Schizosaccharomyces pombe: one gene and its partner. The protein of the gene in region 2 interacts with the protein of the main gene of each other region in a biochemical or structural test. Each region holds a gene or a part of one and is shown on either strand. Other genes may lie near its edges.

Region 1 (9,083 bases), on a different chromosome or scaffold from region 2:
CCTTCTGAATCTTTATTTATTGCTTTTCTTCAAAGCTATGAACGCTCAACCCTTTCATAACAACACTTCAGATGTGCAATCCTTTCAGGACATTATAAGCAATTCCTATCAAAAACCTTTGAGCTTAGTTGACAGTACTGATCGTGCACTACCGGATTCTTCTCTTTCAAGCTTATCACGATCTACCTTTCAATTTCACAAGCATCACCTTTCTGGCAATGAGAATCCTCAGCCCTCTTCCGAAAGCCCCTACTTCACTAACAATGAACGTTTGAATTCCTCTAGTTTCCCTCAAATCCATGATAATCAATTATCTCCATCTTTTAACACTTCTTATCAAGCCATTCCTTCCTCCTCCTCTAATCGATCCCGTGGTGGTCCTTACACCCCAAGCATTCGAGATGACTCTCTTCTAGCTTTACTCAGTTTCTCCTCGAATCATCGTCTGCATTCTATGCCCTCTCAACTTCAGCCTTTTAATAATGCATCATCATACACTACTCCAATGGCCCCTTTTACGGCATCCTTTTCTAACAAGGTTTCTCATTCTGCTTACCCCACAAGGAGGCTACCTAGTCAGGCAAAAAAAACATCGGCAATAGAGAGAGTTCCGGTCAATCTCAATTTCCTACAGTCGGACAACTTGGTTGTGCAGTCATCGCCGCAAACGAATTTTGAAAACTTTGAGTTTCCGAAAAAGATTCCATCAAAAGAAGATTTGGAAACTCGTGAAGTGTTATTACTCCCTCCGCAAACGTCTAAACTCTCAAACAAAAATTTGGACACCAAAAGTTTTACCGATGTTAACAAAATTTCCCAACAAGGATTTGTGGAAATCAGTTCAAATTCTTCAAAAGTTACCCCCAATACAAGCTTGCATCAATCCTTTGGCATAGCAAGCTCCTCTTCCAATAATTATATGCAGACATCGTCTGAACTTACCTCTTCTACCGAGAAGATGAATGGATCGCATCCTTTGCAATTGTCGAATAAGTCATTATTGTCGATCCATCTTATGCAGTCTAAAAACCAAGGTCATGTTTCGATGACAGGTTCAGATAAACTCTCTTCTCATGTACAGTCCGAAACCGAGAATGCTCCTGTAAGTAAACCAAGTAAACCAAATACTTTGACTGAAGATGAAAAACCTTTACAGTCTACGAAGCTCCCTGGAAATTCTCTTACTGTTGGTGAATTATACCAAGAACCCAAAAGTATCCAGCTGCCCGAATTGTCTGTTTCACGGACTACTTATTCGGCTCAATCCTCTTCTGTCAAAAATTGCAACGAACGCATTCCCTCTGCTAAAGCTCTAAAAAAGCAAAAGCATTTAGTTCCGGAAAACAAATCAAAATTGCAATATGTATGGCAGAAAAAAGAAAGCCTCCCTTATGCTAACCTTACTTCCGCAAGTAATACGCACTTTTTTCTGTCGGAAAACCAGAACGACACTTCTGAACGGTTGACCCGTACTTTGAGAAAAAGCACAAAAAACTATACGTTTGGCTCTTATATATTGGGAAGGACAATCGGTACCGGCGAGTTTGGAAAGGTTAAACTTGGCTGGCCTTTACCAAAAGCCAATTCTACTATTCACCGCTCAACACCGCAAGTTGTAATTAAAATAGTTTTGTCTACGAAGCAAAACTGTCAAACAAGCCGATTGATGCGAGAGGTGGCCATTTTAAAAGGTTTGGGTAATAATCACCCCCATATTGTAAAATATTTGGATTTTGTAAAAACTAAACATCATTTTGGTATAGTACTAGACTATGTTAATGGTGGTGAACTTTTTGATTATATACTGGCGCGCCGAAGACTTGAAGATTCGGTTGCTTGCCGACTGTTCGCACAATTAATAAGTGGTGTTGCCTATTTACATTCTCGAGGAGTGGTACATAGAGATCTGAAGTTGGAGAATATATTGCTAGATACTAATCGAAATATCGTAATTGCGGATTTCGGCTTTGCGACTACTTTTGGGCACTTTAATACTCTCAGTGAACACTCATTGCCCACGGAAAAGCCAGATTTATTTAGTACATCATGTGGATCGCCTTGTTATGCGGCCCCTGAATTAGTGAATTGCAAGTCTGGAATGTATGCTGGCACACAAGCAGATATTTGGAGTTGCGGTGTCATTTTATATGCAATGTTGGCTGGGTATCTACCATTTGACGATGATCCACACAATCCAAATGGAGAAAATGTCCCTCGACTCTATCGGTATATTTGCAGTACTCCTTTAATATTTCCGGAGTTCTTTAAAAGCAAAGCTCGCGACATTCTTAAAAAAATTTTAGTTCCTGATCCAGCAAAACGTGTCCGAATGTCAGCAATTATGAATCACGCATATCTCCGGTCTCATGTGTCTCTATTTGAAACGTATAACGATGATGAAGCGACCTCACTGCGTCCGTCTCCCATCCGTTTGCTTTCTCAAAAATCTTTAGCTAGTGTTTCTTCAGTTTCGTCAATCAGCACTTACTCTTCTTCCATTGAATTGACTCCTCAGATCACAAAAACTTCATTAAATCGAGAAAAACCGGCATTACATGGCAGCATCAATCTTAAACACTCAACGAGGCCGGTTGTACCAATTGCAGATGGTATCTATGCTTCTACTACTCTTCATCCAATCGATAATGCTAAAAACCGCTTGGTTTCTTTACTGCGCCGTCCCAAGCATAAGGTTAAGCATGCCAAAGTTGAAACACGTGAATCTCCTATGAAAAATAAGCCAACTAAGAAACAACACAAGCGTGCATTTAGCATGTTTGAGAGGCCCACTTCTCAGAAAGCCCCATTGTCACCAGTAGAAAGCAAGATTAACCTTATGGTTGCTCCTAAACGTGTATTAAATTGTGCTTCAGATTCTTTAAGAGCTTTATTAGCAGGAAAGACGGATAAATCTTTTTGGGGTTCACGTATACCATTCTTGTTTAATAAATTGAAATCCAAACAGAAGGCTGTATCCAGCTCCTTCAATACGGAAAACTCATTTTTAATTCTTCAAGCAGTTTCGCCTTTAACTTTTGGAGGTTGTTTCAAAGAAGAAAACGCGTATGGGCAGAAGAAGCAGCACATGAGACACGCTACCGTTTTTTAATGTTTGCGTTACGATATTGTATATCTCAACAATGCATGATAATTATCAAACTGCCTGTTTCCTATATTAGTTTTTTAAAAAGATGGCTCTTCGACTTTTTCTTAAGAAAAGCGGTTTATATGGTTATCAATTATTAAAGCTTGAATTGATTGTTTGACAATGTTGAACAATGGGTTTCCTAAAAAAAGACGCTTTAGCTGATTTTTATCGTTTATCAGCGTGTATATTACTTGCCTTGTACTTTACAGTTTCCGCTTTTCATCTTTATTCTAACTTTTTATTTTAATTTTTAATTTTTTGGTACAAGCACCTTTCGTTCTTTAAACTACTTTTAAACTATTAAATTTCTTTCACTCATATGTCCTTATATCTAATTCACTCGTTAATAATATTTTATCATTACCCTTGAGTTATACTTATTAGTAAATAGTGTAATATTTTAATTACAATAAATGGAACGCGTTCTTTTACGCGTCTCTTCTTTAAGCAAGTACATTGCGAGTCTAACACGAACGTAATAAAGAGTTGAGCACCACATTTTGAAATCGCATCTTTCAAGCTTCAATATTGCGAAGTACTAATTAATAAAATCAGCCTATGGCTCTTATGGATATAGAGCATTGAAAGTTTACTGCATTTGTCATTTATTTGTTAAATACCCAAGGTGAATAGTACAAAAGCGTGCAAAAGCCAACTTTTGCGATGATAAAGTTACAGTTTCAAAGAAACATTGTCCCAACACATGACAATCCGTTAACGACTTCCGAGATTTTAAAACGACTACGTGATTTACTAGGAGAGCTTACTAGCCTATCCCAAGATACTATCGACCGTGACTCAGTATTGCCAGTAGCACGATCATTAGTAAATAACAATTTGCTCCATCACAAAGATAAAGGGATACGCTCTTATACACTTTGTTGTATTGTTGAATTGCTTCGTTTATGTGCCCCCGATGCGCCCTTCACTTTATCACAATTGGAAGATATTTTCCAAGTAATTCTCAAAATTCTTAGTGGTCTTATGAATCAAGAATCTACTTATTATCCACAAATTTACGAGATATTAGAGAGTTTGTCGAACGTTAAATCTGCAGTTCTAATAGTTGATCTCCCGAATGCTGAAGAATTCTTAGTAAATATCTTTCGTCTCTTCTTTGATTTAGCGAGAAAGGGTACTACCAAGAATGTCGAGTTTTACATGCTTGATATTATTAACCAGTTGATCAATGAGATTAACACCATTCCTGCTGCTGCCTTGAACATACTATTTGCTCAACTAATATCAGGAAAGGGCGTAAGGCAAACAATTGGCTCTTCCGATTCTACTAATCACGGTCCAGCTTTTCAACTAGCGAGAAATATTTTTCATGACTCAGCAGATCGACTACAAAGATATGTTTGCCAGTATTTCTCAGATATTATATTCGATTCAAGAGATTCGCTTTCTGACTCCATGACTACTCCAGAATTTATATTCTCGCACAATTTAGTTTTACAATTATGGAAATATGCACCAACCACGTTATTGAACATTATTCCACAATTCGAAAATGAATTGCAAGCTGAACAAACTAGTGTGCGACTTGTGGCGATAGAAACTGTTGGTTTGATGCTCCAAGACAACGCCATATGGTCCGATTATCCTAGGGTATGGAGTGCATTTTGTGGTCGGCTCAATGATAAATCAGTTGCATGTCGTATCAAATGCATTGAAGTTGCTTCCAACGCTCTTCAGAATTCATTGGCTACTTCTGAGATAATTGAAAACGTAGTTCAAATGCTTCAATCAAAGTTGGCCGACACGGATGAAAAGGTGCGGGTTGCTACTCTTAAAACGATCGAACAGTTGACTTTCGAAACCTTTAAAATGCAATTTTCAGTACAGGCTTTGAAACTCATGGGTGACCGTTTACGTGATCGTAAACTCAATGTTCGTTTACAAGCAATTCGGACACTAAGTCAAATTTATAATAGAGCATATCAAGACCTTATAGATGGTGTGGAATACTCAATACAGATGTTCAGCTGGATCCCTTCATCTCTTTTGGAAGTATTTTATGTTAATGATGAAACAACTAATGCGGCTGTTGAAATTTGTATGGCTGAACTGGTCCTACAATACCTTAGTTCTGATACGCAAACAAGGTTAAACAGGCTTTTCCTTTCAATAAAGTATTTTAGTGAAAAAGCGATGCGAGTTTTTATTCTACTTTTACAAAGACAAGTTAAGTATTCGGAACTCTTAAATTACTACATTGAGTGCTGCAAAAATTACAATGGAGGTGTTATGGATAATGATGAAGAGTCAATTACCAACAAGCTTAAGAAGGTGATTGATATCATATCATCAAAAAGTTCTAATCCTACATTAACAGAAGCCACTTTCAGAAAATTTGCGGAACTTAATGATCGTCAAAGCTACAAAATGCTTTTACAAACGTTTTCCATTAAAAGTGAATATCAAGTTGTTTTAAAAAGCATAAAATATTTATTTAAAAGGGTTTCTGAAACGTTGAGTACCGCAAGTCTTGAATGTTTTAGAATATTCGTTTACCGTTCAGCTCTGTTTGCTTTTAATAAAAGCAACGTGCATGAAATAATTCAATTATTAAATGAACCTGTAAAATACCACAATTTCCTTAAGCCGTCGGAGGCTCTTTTACAGCATTTACCGCTAATTCATCCCAACATATATGGAGAGGTTGTTATAGAAGTTGAAAATATTATAGTTTCTTCGGGCATTGAATCGGATCCTAAAGTAATTAAAGCTCTTTCCCAATTCTCCAAAAGAAAAAAAAATTTTTCTATACAAACAACAACTGCTGAAATACTACGAAAGTTGTGTCTACATGGAACACAGGAACAAGCCAAACAGGCAGCGACGATTATCGCTATAACGGAGACGAAAGAATTCAAACTCGATATGATAACGAATATCGTGGAAAATTTGGAGTATAATGGAGGACTTCCTGTACGGCTTATGACTTTAGGACAACTATTTCTATACACTTTAGAAGAGGTAGAGAAGGTTGCTGACCAAGTTACAGAATTTTTAGTAAAAAAAGTTATACAGCGCTTTCCTGAAAAATATGATGATACGCATAATGATGAGGAATGGTGTACTTACGAAAAATTAGATAATCTTACCATGTGCAAAGTTTTAGCAATTAGGGTTTTGGTTAATCGACTGAGGGCGGCGGCAGGAGGAACCGAAGCGTTAAATATTGGAGCTCCTATCATTAAGCTATTGAAAGTATTGTTAATGGCTGACGGTGAATTAAGTCCGTTCAAGAATACTCCCAAAATTTCTCGTGCTTATTTACGTCTCACTGCTAGCAAATATTTTTTAAAGTTATGTTCCATTCCTTTTTATGCGGAACATATAGATTTTAGTTCTTACGTTCAAATCTCCTTATTATGCCAAGATGAAAATTTTGACGTGAGAAATTTATTTTTGACGAAGCTTCAGAAGCAGCTGCAACTTAAAAAGTTGCCAATTAGTTATTATCCTTTATTGTTCCTGACTGCTGTTGATCCGGAAGAGGAGATCAAGACTAAAGCGTCTATATGGATACGTTCTCAGGTTGCTTTTTTCCAGAAAACCCATGATTTTACCATGGAATATGTAGCAACATATCTTATCCATCTTCTCTCTCACCATCCAGACATATCTTCGATAGAATCAGAGAACTCGCTTGATTTTATTGCATACATTCGCTTTTACGTTGACACTGTTGTTAATAGTGAGAACGTCCCAATCGTTTTTCATCTAATGCAACGCATAAAACAAAGCTATGATGTTATTGAAGATGGAAACAATTACATTTATGTGCTAAGCGACATGGCTCAGAAAATATTGCAGGTGAAATCCCAGAACTTTGGATGGAGTTTGACTACGTATCCAAAGCAAATTAAATTACCTTACGAAATTTTAAGACCAATTCCCTCTATAGATGAGAAAAAGAGAATTTTCAATAAAATCTTCATAACGCCTAAAATGGAAAGTCAGATTGAACATGCTATAAGGACACCAGTCTCATCTTTTGCGAAACAGACTACCAATAAGCACGCAAATTTGAAGCAAAAGAAGACTCATAGCTCAAAGAGCGATAAAAAATCGTCTAGAAGAAGGAAAAACGAAAAAAGGAGAAAGCTAAATGAGCAGAATCCTAATATTAGGAACGTGCCAGAACGAAGTAGCTCAAGATTTCAAGGGATTCGTATAAATTATTCGGAAGCACCGTCTTCAAGTGAGGAGATAAGCGAAGAAGAGGAGGAAATTAGCGAAGAAGATTTTGATGAAATAGAGGATTTATAAAAAAGGCTTATTTGGATGCGAAATACCGATACTAGAACACTTACCCAATATTACCAATGAATTTTCAATGTTAATTAGATAAATTGCTATCTTTTTTGTTAAACAATCTATGCTTGCTAATTGCCTAAACTTTTGAAAGATGACTCCATCACATACATGCCTCCATAACTTCTGCATCTATTAATTTTTTTCATTCCTAGTAATATAATAATAAAAGTTGCATTTTTGAGTTTTTTTACGCTTTACAATTCGTAAAATCTAATAGTGAGATTGGATTAGCCGCTGTAGTATATCTTAATAAAGCATGGCTGGGCGAACTAATTACGGTGACCGCACAATATATTTACCTACAACCAACACCGGTGTTTGATACTTAGGGGTTTGAACTTTCTAGGAATTCAATAAAGTGAAGCAAAGCTTTACGATTAATTATTTTTTGTGAAATAGTATGCCCACCATTAAGTGTGTCGTAGTAGGAGACGGTGCTGTAGGAAAGGTGAGTTGATGTTTACGGAAGGTGAAGTTAAGCAATGCATAAAAAAATACAAGAATTGCTATCATCTAAAATGAAGTTTCTTTTGTCTATACATTCCCCTTTATTTCTTTCTTTCCAAAAATTGTTCTTTTGAGTTTTACACATACTGACCGTTTGAATGTAGACCTGTCTGCTTATTTCCTATACTACAAACAAGTTTCCTAGTGACTATGTGCCAACTGTATTCGATAATGTAAGTATAATTAGTTGTTTATGGAATGAAGTACTTGGTGAAGTTTTGTCCCCATATTAGAAATTTTTTACTATTCAAATGTTCGGTCACGGAAAATTTTGATATAAGGCTTTTTGTCAAAAAAAGGCTGAAGGATTAAACAATGACTCAATGTATTTATCGATTTTATCTCAGAAACTATTGAAAGTTTAATAATTTTTTTTTATCCGATGCTTTTTTTTTTCCACACTAGATCTAAAGACCGTAGGAAGCCTTATCTCGTAAGGAATAAGATGAGGCGACCACTTTCTTTCCCAGGAAGATTTGGTCGTTATTATTTCTGCTATTTGCTATATTGGGGACTATTCTAACTTTCTTGTTGCTTTTACTCCCGTTTTTAATTGATATAGCTGATTTTCATTTTATAGTAAAGATTTACTGACTAAAATAGTATGCTGTCACTGTCATGATCGGTGATGAACCATACACTCTTGGTTTATTCGATACCGCTGGTCAGGAGGATTATGATCGCTTGCGTCCTTTATCCTATCCTCAAACAGACGTCTTTTTGGTTTGTTTTAGTGTAACTTCTCCTGCCAGTTTTGAAAATGTGAAAGAAAAGTGGTTTCCCGAAGTTCATCATCATTGTCCGGGCGTCCCGTGCTTAATTGTTGGTACCCAAATTGATTTACGTGATGACCCTTCTGTGCAACAGAAACTAGCTCGCCAGCATCAGCATCCCCTTACACATGAGCAAGGTGAACGATTAGCTCGTGAGTTGGGTGCTGTCAAGTATGTTGAGTGTTCCGCTTTGACCCAAAAAGGGTTAAAGAATGTTTTTGATGAAGCTATTGTAGCCGCTCTTGATCCTCCTGTTCCTCACAAGAAAAAGTCAAAGTGTTTGGTACTGTAATTTAACCCCTGGTTTTCTTTCCTTTTCCGAAATT
Region 2 (7,645 bases):
GGTAAAAAGAAACAAATCTATAAGGGCGAGAACGATGAATTTTATGTCGAAGAGGCTAGACGTAAAAGACTTCGTCCTTTCGACAAAGCTTTAAAATCATTTTGTTACTCTGATGCTTTGGATATGGTATTGGAGAACGGATCACCTGTTCTTATCATAACTATGCTTATTGAGCTTCTTCATGTTGGAGGGTTACGGATTGCATTGTCTAACAGAGATGATTTATCTCTTACTCCTTTGATAAACTTCTTAAGAAAATATATAAGAGACCCTCGTTTCTCCGAAACTTTATGTATAGTTACTAGCACCATTTTAGATATATACGGAGCTGCTCTTGGGGGCAGCGTAATGGTGGAAAATGCAATTTCAAAGCTTCGTGAAAAAGTTGAGCAGGAAGTAGCGGTTACTCAAAGGGCAAATGAGTTGGTTGGTATGCTTCAGATGTTGTCTGCTTGACCAATGATTATGATATCTTAATGTGCGAGTTATACCTCAATTTGTGTGTTCTAACTAGCAACCTTTACATTATCGATATGATTCACTCAGATTGTTTATTAAAAACGGCGCCTTATTTGAGATTTTTAATTACAGCAATAACTGCCACCCTTTGCCGCTGGAATTGGTAAATATCAAAAAATTTTATTCAATGTTTGGGTGTTAATTTAAAGTATTCGCAGAAAAACAAAAACTTGGGATTTATGGCAGGTTAAGTGGTCTTAAAGGAAATAATTATTTATTAAAAAAAAGTAATTTTGTAGCTTGTTAAAAAGGATAACCGGATTTCATGTACCTAGAAGAGTAAATCAACCAAAAACATAATAACAAAAGTAAATTAATGAAAGATTCCATAGTATCATAATATTGGTGATGGAAATTATATAGATCGTAAAAGATAGTAAACGTTAAACCACTGCCAGCAGTGGTGATCTTAGGCATGTCATTCGAAACATCGCCTACAATTAAGAATTTGAAAGAATAGTGATGCTAGCCTTTGTTTGCAATTCTTCAATTAATTGGGATCGCAAGTATGGTTTCCCATTAACAATCCTGCTGAATGTGACTACTTGAATATTACCAAGAAGATTGATAGTGCACCAAGCAGGCAAAGCTTTTGAAAGCAACTCAATTGCTTTGGCACACTGGTCAGGTGATAAGCTTGATGATATCGACATTTGCATGCTTGTCACAATTTCAGACATAGAAAAAGATCGTTTAGTTGGCCAAGTGGAAAGCTGAACAAAAATGAGATCAATAATGCGGACAAATGAGACCTTTTCTTTTGCTAGAGTATGAACAACTAGGTTGTTTTTAAATTCTTCAGCTTTTTTTGCTTCCATTGCTTTTTGCTTTTTACGCACGCGATCGAACAGAGAAGATTGTCTCAAAGTTAACTGAGATGATGTTAGCTTACGCGATGAATTTTGAACAGATGAAGAACTTTGATGGGATTTCAAATTGATTTTTGAATTCACTGACTTTGACAAAGTGGACGAACTGTCAAGCATGCTACACGAGACTAACTCATTAGCATATTTTGCCGTGTTAGTAGTGAATTTTGGTTCTAGAGTTTGTGTGGGAATACGTAACTCGCGACTTGTTGATTTCTCCAAATTGAGCTTTCGAACTAGTGAACTTTCATTAACAGTATTCTTGGATAGACTGGGTAAAGCTTGTAACTGTTGAGCAGGAATCTCAGTTTCAGAACAATGCTCTAACAACCATTTTTCTAGTCTCCGTTTAAATTCAATGGAGCGGGAGAAGGCTTCAGGAAGATTCGCATTGCGAGGGTATGACAGTTCATATGTTGCAACACGCTTTCCTTGATGAATAGTAAAACATGGGGTAATAGCAAATGACTCTGGCCATACGGTTAAAATCTGAGCGAGATGAGTTATTTTTAAGGAGATTTTGGTGAGACCAGAGACTTTATTTTCTAACAGCACAAAGGTTGGTTTGGTATTGATGGAGAGGTGAAATTTTACACATATGTCGACTGCATTAAAGACCTTTTCTAAGAAAAGAACTGATTCATTTTTAACTGGGGGTAAAACCTCATTTTGTTCTAAAGACTCAGTGTCCAAGTTCTCTTTCAGCCTTTTAACAGCTGGTATTATTTGAGAATCCTCAGGATTTTTGGGTGGCTCAATAATGGCCGCATTCGACCTTTTTGATGAGGATCGAGTTTTACGGACAGAGAAGTTCAATTTTGTTTGCGATCCAGCGCTCATGATTTGAACACAAAATCCAAAAATAAGGATATTGTTGTCGTGACTATATAGGGCGCGACATTTCATTTATATCGAGGGTTATATTAAATTTGAGCGTGTCGCGTTTGTTGACGCGTCGCGTAGCTATCGTGTCGCGCTTGCTAACTAGTTCACATTTGTCCGACTAATCAGTTTATGTCTTACTTAGCCTATATGATTCAGTAGATTATATTGAATAAATAAGTTCCAACACTTGTACAAAATTCACAAAACAATTTTTTAACTACAGCTTTTCATTTTCCGAAGTTTTTATAGAATCTCTTATACGAGTTTAAAATTATTACAGGATGCATCGTTATATAAATTTTGAATAACTCCTTTGCTCTGCGAGATATTATTGAGTTGTTCGTTGTCGAAATTTTCAATAATATGTTACATGTCACAATGATTTCTGTATAATAAAGGTGTTGCACCAAGTTCAGGCTCTCTGAAAACAAACTTGTGTCAAATAGCCACTCGTCCACTTATGGTCTTCCATAAGTTGTACGAATTCAAAACTTTTAGTTAACTTTTTTACTATCAGTGGATAAGTTGCTATAATAAATGAATAAAAAGATGCCCTGTATGATTTCTATCGACTAAGTCTTTTCTATTTATACTGGGTAGAGTAACAATGTGACTCAAATATCTATAAGGACCGATTGAAATCAACCAAGTACAAATAGAAAAACGATTCTAAAATTACTGAGTATAAAAAACGAATTTCTCATCAAGGACCCTATTTTCTTTTTTCTTTGCTCAAGAAGTTATTAAGCTCTATTTTCGAAGGTTTTCACTCACTCGACAAGCTACATTGTGAGTTGGTACGACCGTGTTCCTCCATTTTTGTAAAGAATCGATGTCAAGCCAGGCGGATTGAAGAAACCTTGAAATGAAAAGAGGAAAATGTAAGGAAAAAGATAATGGTTTGAAGAGAATTTCTTCGGAATCGGAAGTTTGGAACTTTTTAGACGTGACAGTTTCAGAGTTAAACAAGCAAAAGCGCTCGCCAGGACAGACCGTGTCTAAACGACTGCATAAAAAGCAAAGGGTCGTTAGTAATCCTGATTTGAGTTTACCGTCTTCACCGGTAAAACAAATTTTAAGAAATGGACTTCAGAATTCAAAGTACGGTTCTCATAAGACAGGACTGGAAAGGTCCGCGAGCTGTAGTAGTATTGATGCTTCCGCAAACCATTCTTCCACTACCTATCGGGAACAAAGATCGTATTTGATGGAGGAAGGATTAGATACTCAGCCAATTGTACCCCGTGAAGTATCCTCTGGTCGAGAATTGGATTCAACCAACCATACTATTGGTACAGAACGTGCTTTTTTGATAGAGGAAGACGTATCAGAAGATGATGAAATTCAAATGAAAAGTATACATGAACTTCGCTTTGCTGGAGAGCAGCAAAGGATCGTTGATGAAATTGAATACTTAGTGGACGGAGTGACTTTCTCAGGTAACTCTTCTGCTTCTCGCTATTTGAGTTTAATAGGAATCGCTGAAAAAATGTTTGACAATTCATTTCGTTTATGCTTAAAGTCGATACGGGATGTCTTCTTGCGAATATTTGAAGAAATTGATCCTAAAGATACTTTACACACTTTTTTGCAGATTTATATATTTGCAACTATGGCTAATGAAATGGATTGCATGAGTTCCTTGCTTGATGCTTACTCAAACAATGTTAAACTTCTTTTGCAAACGGCTATTACTTTAGAACCGCAGGTACCGGTTTCAATTTTGGCAAAAAGCTTACCAAAAAGTGTAAAGGGAGCCGTTCAAGAATTCGTTATAAAGGCAGAGCTTACTTTTAGTTTTAGCAATGAGTCTCTTGCTTCTTCTGATTCTATCAGTCTTGCAGCTATCGCTCTTATGAAGACGTCCTCGGGAGTTTTTGCGGAAAGCGAGTTGTTTACCGAATTAATCAATCTTTTAATAGAAAAATCCTACCCCATCTTGAAGGAAAACGATGGAAGCAATAACTTCTTACTTCATGCACTTTGTAGTTCTTTAGAAAAATTTACGGATTTCCAGGGATCAGAAAAGATTCAGAAGGTTTCACAGATCTTATCCTCAAAGTTACAAATTTTAATTGATGAACACAATGAAACAAATTCACCAAAAATTGACGATACAGTTGTCCATGCATGCAGTGAAAAATTGTTGCGTACTTTGATTCAAACAGTTAATTCTAACAGTGATCATGCGTTAGCGGTTTCTAAATCAGAAGTCCCATTGTTTGCTTATAAAATTTTACAAAAGTTTTCTAATTTTTCGTCCGATGATGAAACTACACGAGAACTAATTATCTTAATCCTTGGTCTTTTACTAGGGCTAGTTGAGGAATCTCATGAGTTTATTCAAACTATCACTCATGTTGAAGGTAAGTTCCTTTTATTAATATTTTTACTAATTCTATTTAGTTTCTTTCGGAGCTTCAGCACTCGATGTCCTCATTTCGTTTTATCAAAAGAACGTAAGTTGTACTACTTCTGTTGTAAGACATTTCTAACAAATGTAGGAAAGTATCGTAGAAATTAGTGGATATGTCGTAATGATTTTAAGCCATTGCTTTTTAAATGATCCCAAAGCGTTTGCCCAACTCAAGCCTTTGATATCTCAGTTTTACGAATCTCTACATAAATTTAAAAATTTTCATTTGAAATTGAAAGAGGAATTAATGATGATGGGTTCTAATGGACTAGCCATTGTTTCTATAATTGATGAACTACATAAATCGTTGCAAGACTACTTGCGCAGTGACTTGGTAAAATGACCTTTGCGGCGCGCTGGGAACGTGACATCCACAACATCGTTGCTTTCACTCACTTTTTTTTACGATCACTCTATAGTTAATAATTTGCCTTTTTAAATATTATAATCTTGAAATTTTCTAATTTAAACAATGGCTCCTATTAAATCTCGTAGAATTGCTGTTCTTGGCAGTCGTTCTGTTGGAAAGTCCAGGTAAGCGTTTGATTGAAGTTTATGCGCAAATAGGTTTACTAACCATTTTTTTTAAATAGTTTAACGGTGCAATATGTTGAAAACCATTTCGTTGAATCGTATTATCCAACTATTGAAAATACATTCAGCAAGAACATCAAGTATAAGGGTCAAGAATTTGCTACTGAAATTATCGATACGGCTGGTCAAGATGAATACAGTATCTTAAATTCTAAGCATTCCATTGGAATCCATGGCTATGTACTCGTTTACAGCATTACTAGCAAATCTTCTTTTGAGATGGTTAAAATAGTTCGTGACAAGATATTGAATCACACTGTATGTCAAATTATTAGAATTTTTAAATTTTTTACTAACCTACTTGCTATTAAGGGTACTGAGTGGGTCCCCATTGTGGTTGTTGGCAATAAGAGCGACTTGCATATGCAGCGTGCTGTTACCGCTGAAGAGGGAAAAGCATTGGCCAATGAATGGAAATGTGCATGGACAGAAGCTTCAGCTCGCCATAACGAAAATGTTGCTCGAGCATTCGAGCTAATTATCAGCGAAATTGAAAAACAAGCAAATCCTTCCCCTCCTGGTGATGGAAAGGGTTGTGTTATCGCCTAAGCTTCTGCTTGAATTTATCATATTATGGATTAATTTATTTTAACTGAATTAACGATTTTATCTTTGCTAATGCAAGATATGGGCTTACATTACATGAGGTGATACTTTGCACACAAACGTGTTTTTTTACACATGGGTTTACAAGATTTCGACTCTTTATTTCAAATATACAAGTACCTAAACTATGGTTTTAAAATTTAGTCAATGTAATACATAGTGGAGAAAGTACAGCCAGACATTGTAGACGTAATTTGTTGAGTTAGCTCTTCGGAAGTTTTAAACTAACCAAATTAATTTTTAGACATAGTATTGTTTATTAACATCTATACAAAACTATTTTGAATATTTCCCAAAATCGACCTTTTACCACTTTTCTTCATGAATCACTTAAGCTTCAGCTTTCCGCAATCGAAAGTGAAGGATATCCGTTTTACCTGGGACAATAACATCAGATTCGCCGACGTTTCCATTTACACCCACAATAGACATTGCTTCTCCACCCAATACCATTTGAGATACCTGTCCAGCAGTCGTTCCTTGCTTCACTAAGATGCAATCTCTGAAAACACCTTCATTAGGAGAGTTTGCAAAATTGTGAACGTTTTTAACGGGAAAAACTGGAATCAAATTTAAAAGTTCCATTGCCTTTGCTAAAACATTACAAACTCCAGTTGAACCGTGTCGAAATAATACCATGTCTTGGAGGTCTGCGATACGGGTTTTAAGATTTTCGCTCAAAGGTTTCAAGCCAGAGTCAGGAAAATCGTCTAGCGTATCAACAAATTCAGAGCCCTCCTCGTACTTAACAAACCCCTGTTTTGCCAATCTTCGAAGAAAAACTTCGGATATGGCTGAAGCCAGTACGAGTCGATTTGGATCTTCTTTTCTAGCTATTTTAGATATATTTGCATCCGCATCAGGATGATCAATTTTGTTAAGAGCAATAACGGTAGGAAACTTGATATCAACGAATCTGTTAACCACTTTTTCAATTGTATCATCATCCCATTTCTCCAAAGGTGTATCTAAATGTAGCGAATCTAAGACTTTAGCTGTAACAGCAGGGGTACTTCCATATCCAGAAAACTGGGATTGTAGTGTATTGACAGGATTGGCTTTCGTAGCAATATGCCTACGAACTATATTAGGCCATTTCTCTCTCAGATTGTTTCCGATCCATGCAGTTATTTCCTTATACAACCAAGCGATATCTACAGAAGGATCATATCCACGACACACTTTTCCTTCCGCATCAGTAGTACCTGAGACATCTACCACATGGACCAAAGCATCGGCATGCCGTAAATCGTCTAAAAATTTATTGCCAAGCCCCTTTCCAGCATGCGCACCTGGAATAAGACCAGCTACATCAAGCAGCTGAATAGGAATTGAACGTACACCATTTTTGCAACCACCATAAATTGGTTTACATTTGTCCTGTAGTCCAAATCTTGAGCACGCGCATTCTATTTGAGCATAGCCAATAGCCCGGTTTGGCTCAATAGTGGTAAAAGGGAAATTACCAGTTTTAGCAGTGGCATCTGTCAACGCATTCAGCATCGTAGATTTACCACTGGAGGGCTTGCCAACAAATCCAATTAAAATGTCTCTACCCATTATTTGGAAACCTTAGAAGAAGTATGTGAGAAAAATTGGTACTGAAATCCAGGACCTACTCGTACTCTGCAATCTGAGAATTAGAGTAGTGGTAAGGGTCGAGTGTTTCGTAATACCTGCTTTTAGGACTAAAGATTTAAAGGATTGTTTGCTTGCACATTTATAATATTTTTTTTTTAGCATAATTTATTTTATT

What was found. Proteins that work in one complex are often made in the same cells at the same time.
Region 1: the proteins of wpl1 (region 2) and pds5 form a complex in vitro, tested with the Schizosaccharomyces pombe proteins (one study listed by BioGRID).

Annotation. Positions count from the first base shown.
Region 1 is NC_003424.3:1,908,231-1,917,313, forward strand, and holds pds5 (mitotic and meiotic cohesin loader subunit Pds5), read left to right. Parts: upstream 1-3,617; 5' UTR 3,618-3,811; coding exon 3,812-7,429; 3' UTR 7,430-7,667; downstream 7,668-9,083. Other genes in the region: serine/threonine protein kinase Ppk1, read left to right, coding at 38-3,109; Rho family GTPase Cdc42, read left to right, coding at 7,878-7,925, 8,089-8,157, 8,588-9,049. UniProt on the Schizosaccharomyces pombe protein: Required for the establishment and maintenance of sister chromatid cohesion during S phase. Prevents their formation until eso1 is present. May also have a role during meiosis.
Region 2 is NC_003423.3:472,014-479,658, reverse strand, and holds wpl1 (WAPL family protein), read left to right. Parts: upstream 1-2,930; 5' UTR 2,931-3,138; coding exon 3,139-4,639; intron 4,640-4,648; exon of another isoform or gene 4,649-4,679; coding exon 4,680-4,732; exon of another isoform or gene 4,733-4,777; coding exon 4,778-5,032; 3' UTR 5,033-5,085; downstream 5,086-7,645. Other genes in the region: U3 snoRNP protein Utp15, read left to right, coding at 1-456; DNA replication licensing factor Cdt1, read right to left, coding at 960-2,228; Rheb GTPase Rhb1, read left to right, coding at 5,162-5,223, 5,283-5,541, 5,596-5,832; SPOM_SPBC428.15 (Obg-like ATPase), read right to left, coding at 6,220-7,449. UniProt on the Schizosaccharomyces pombe protein: Regulator of sister chromatid cohesion in mitosis which negatively regulates cohesin association with chromatin.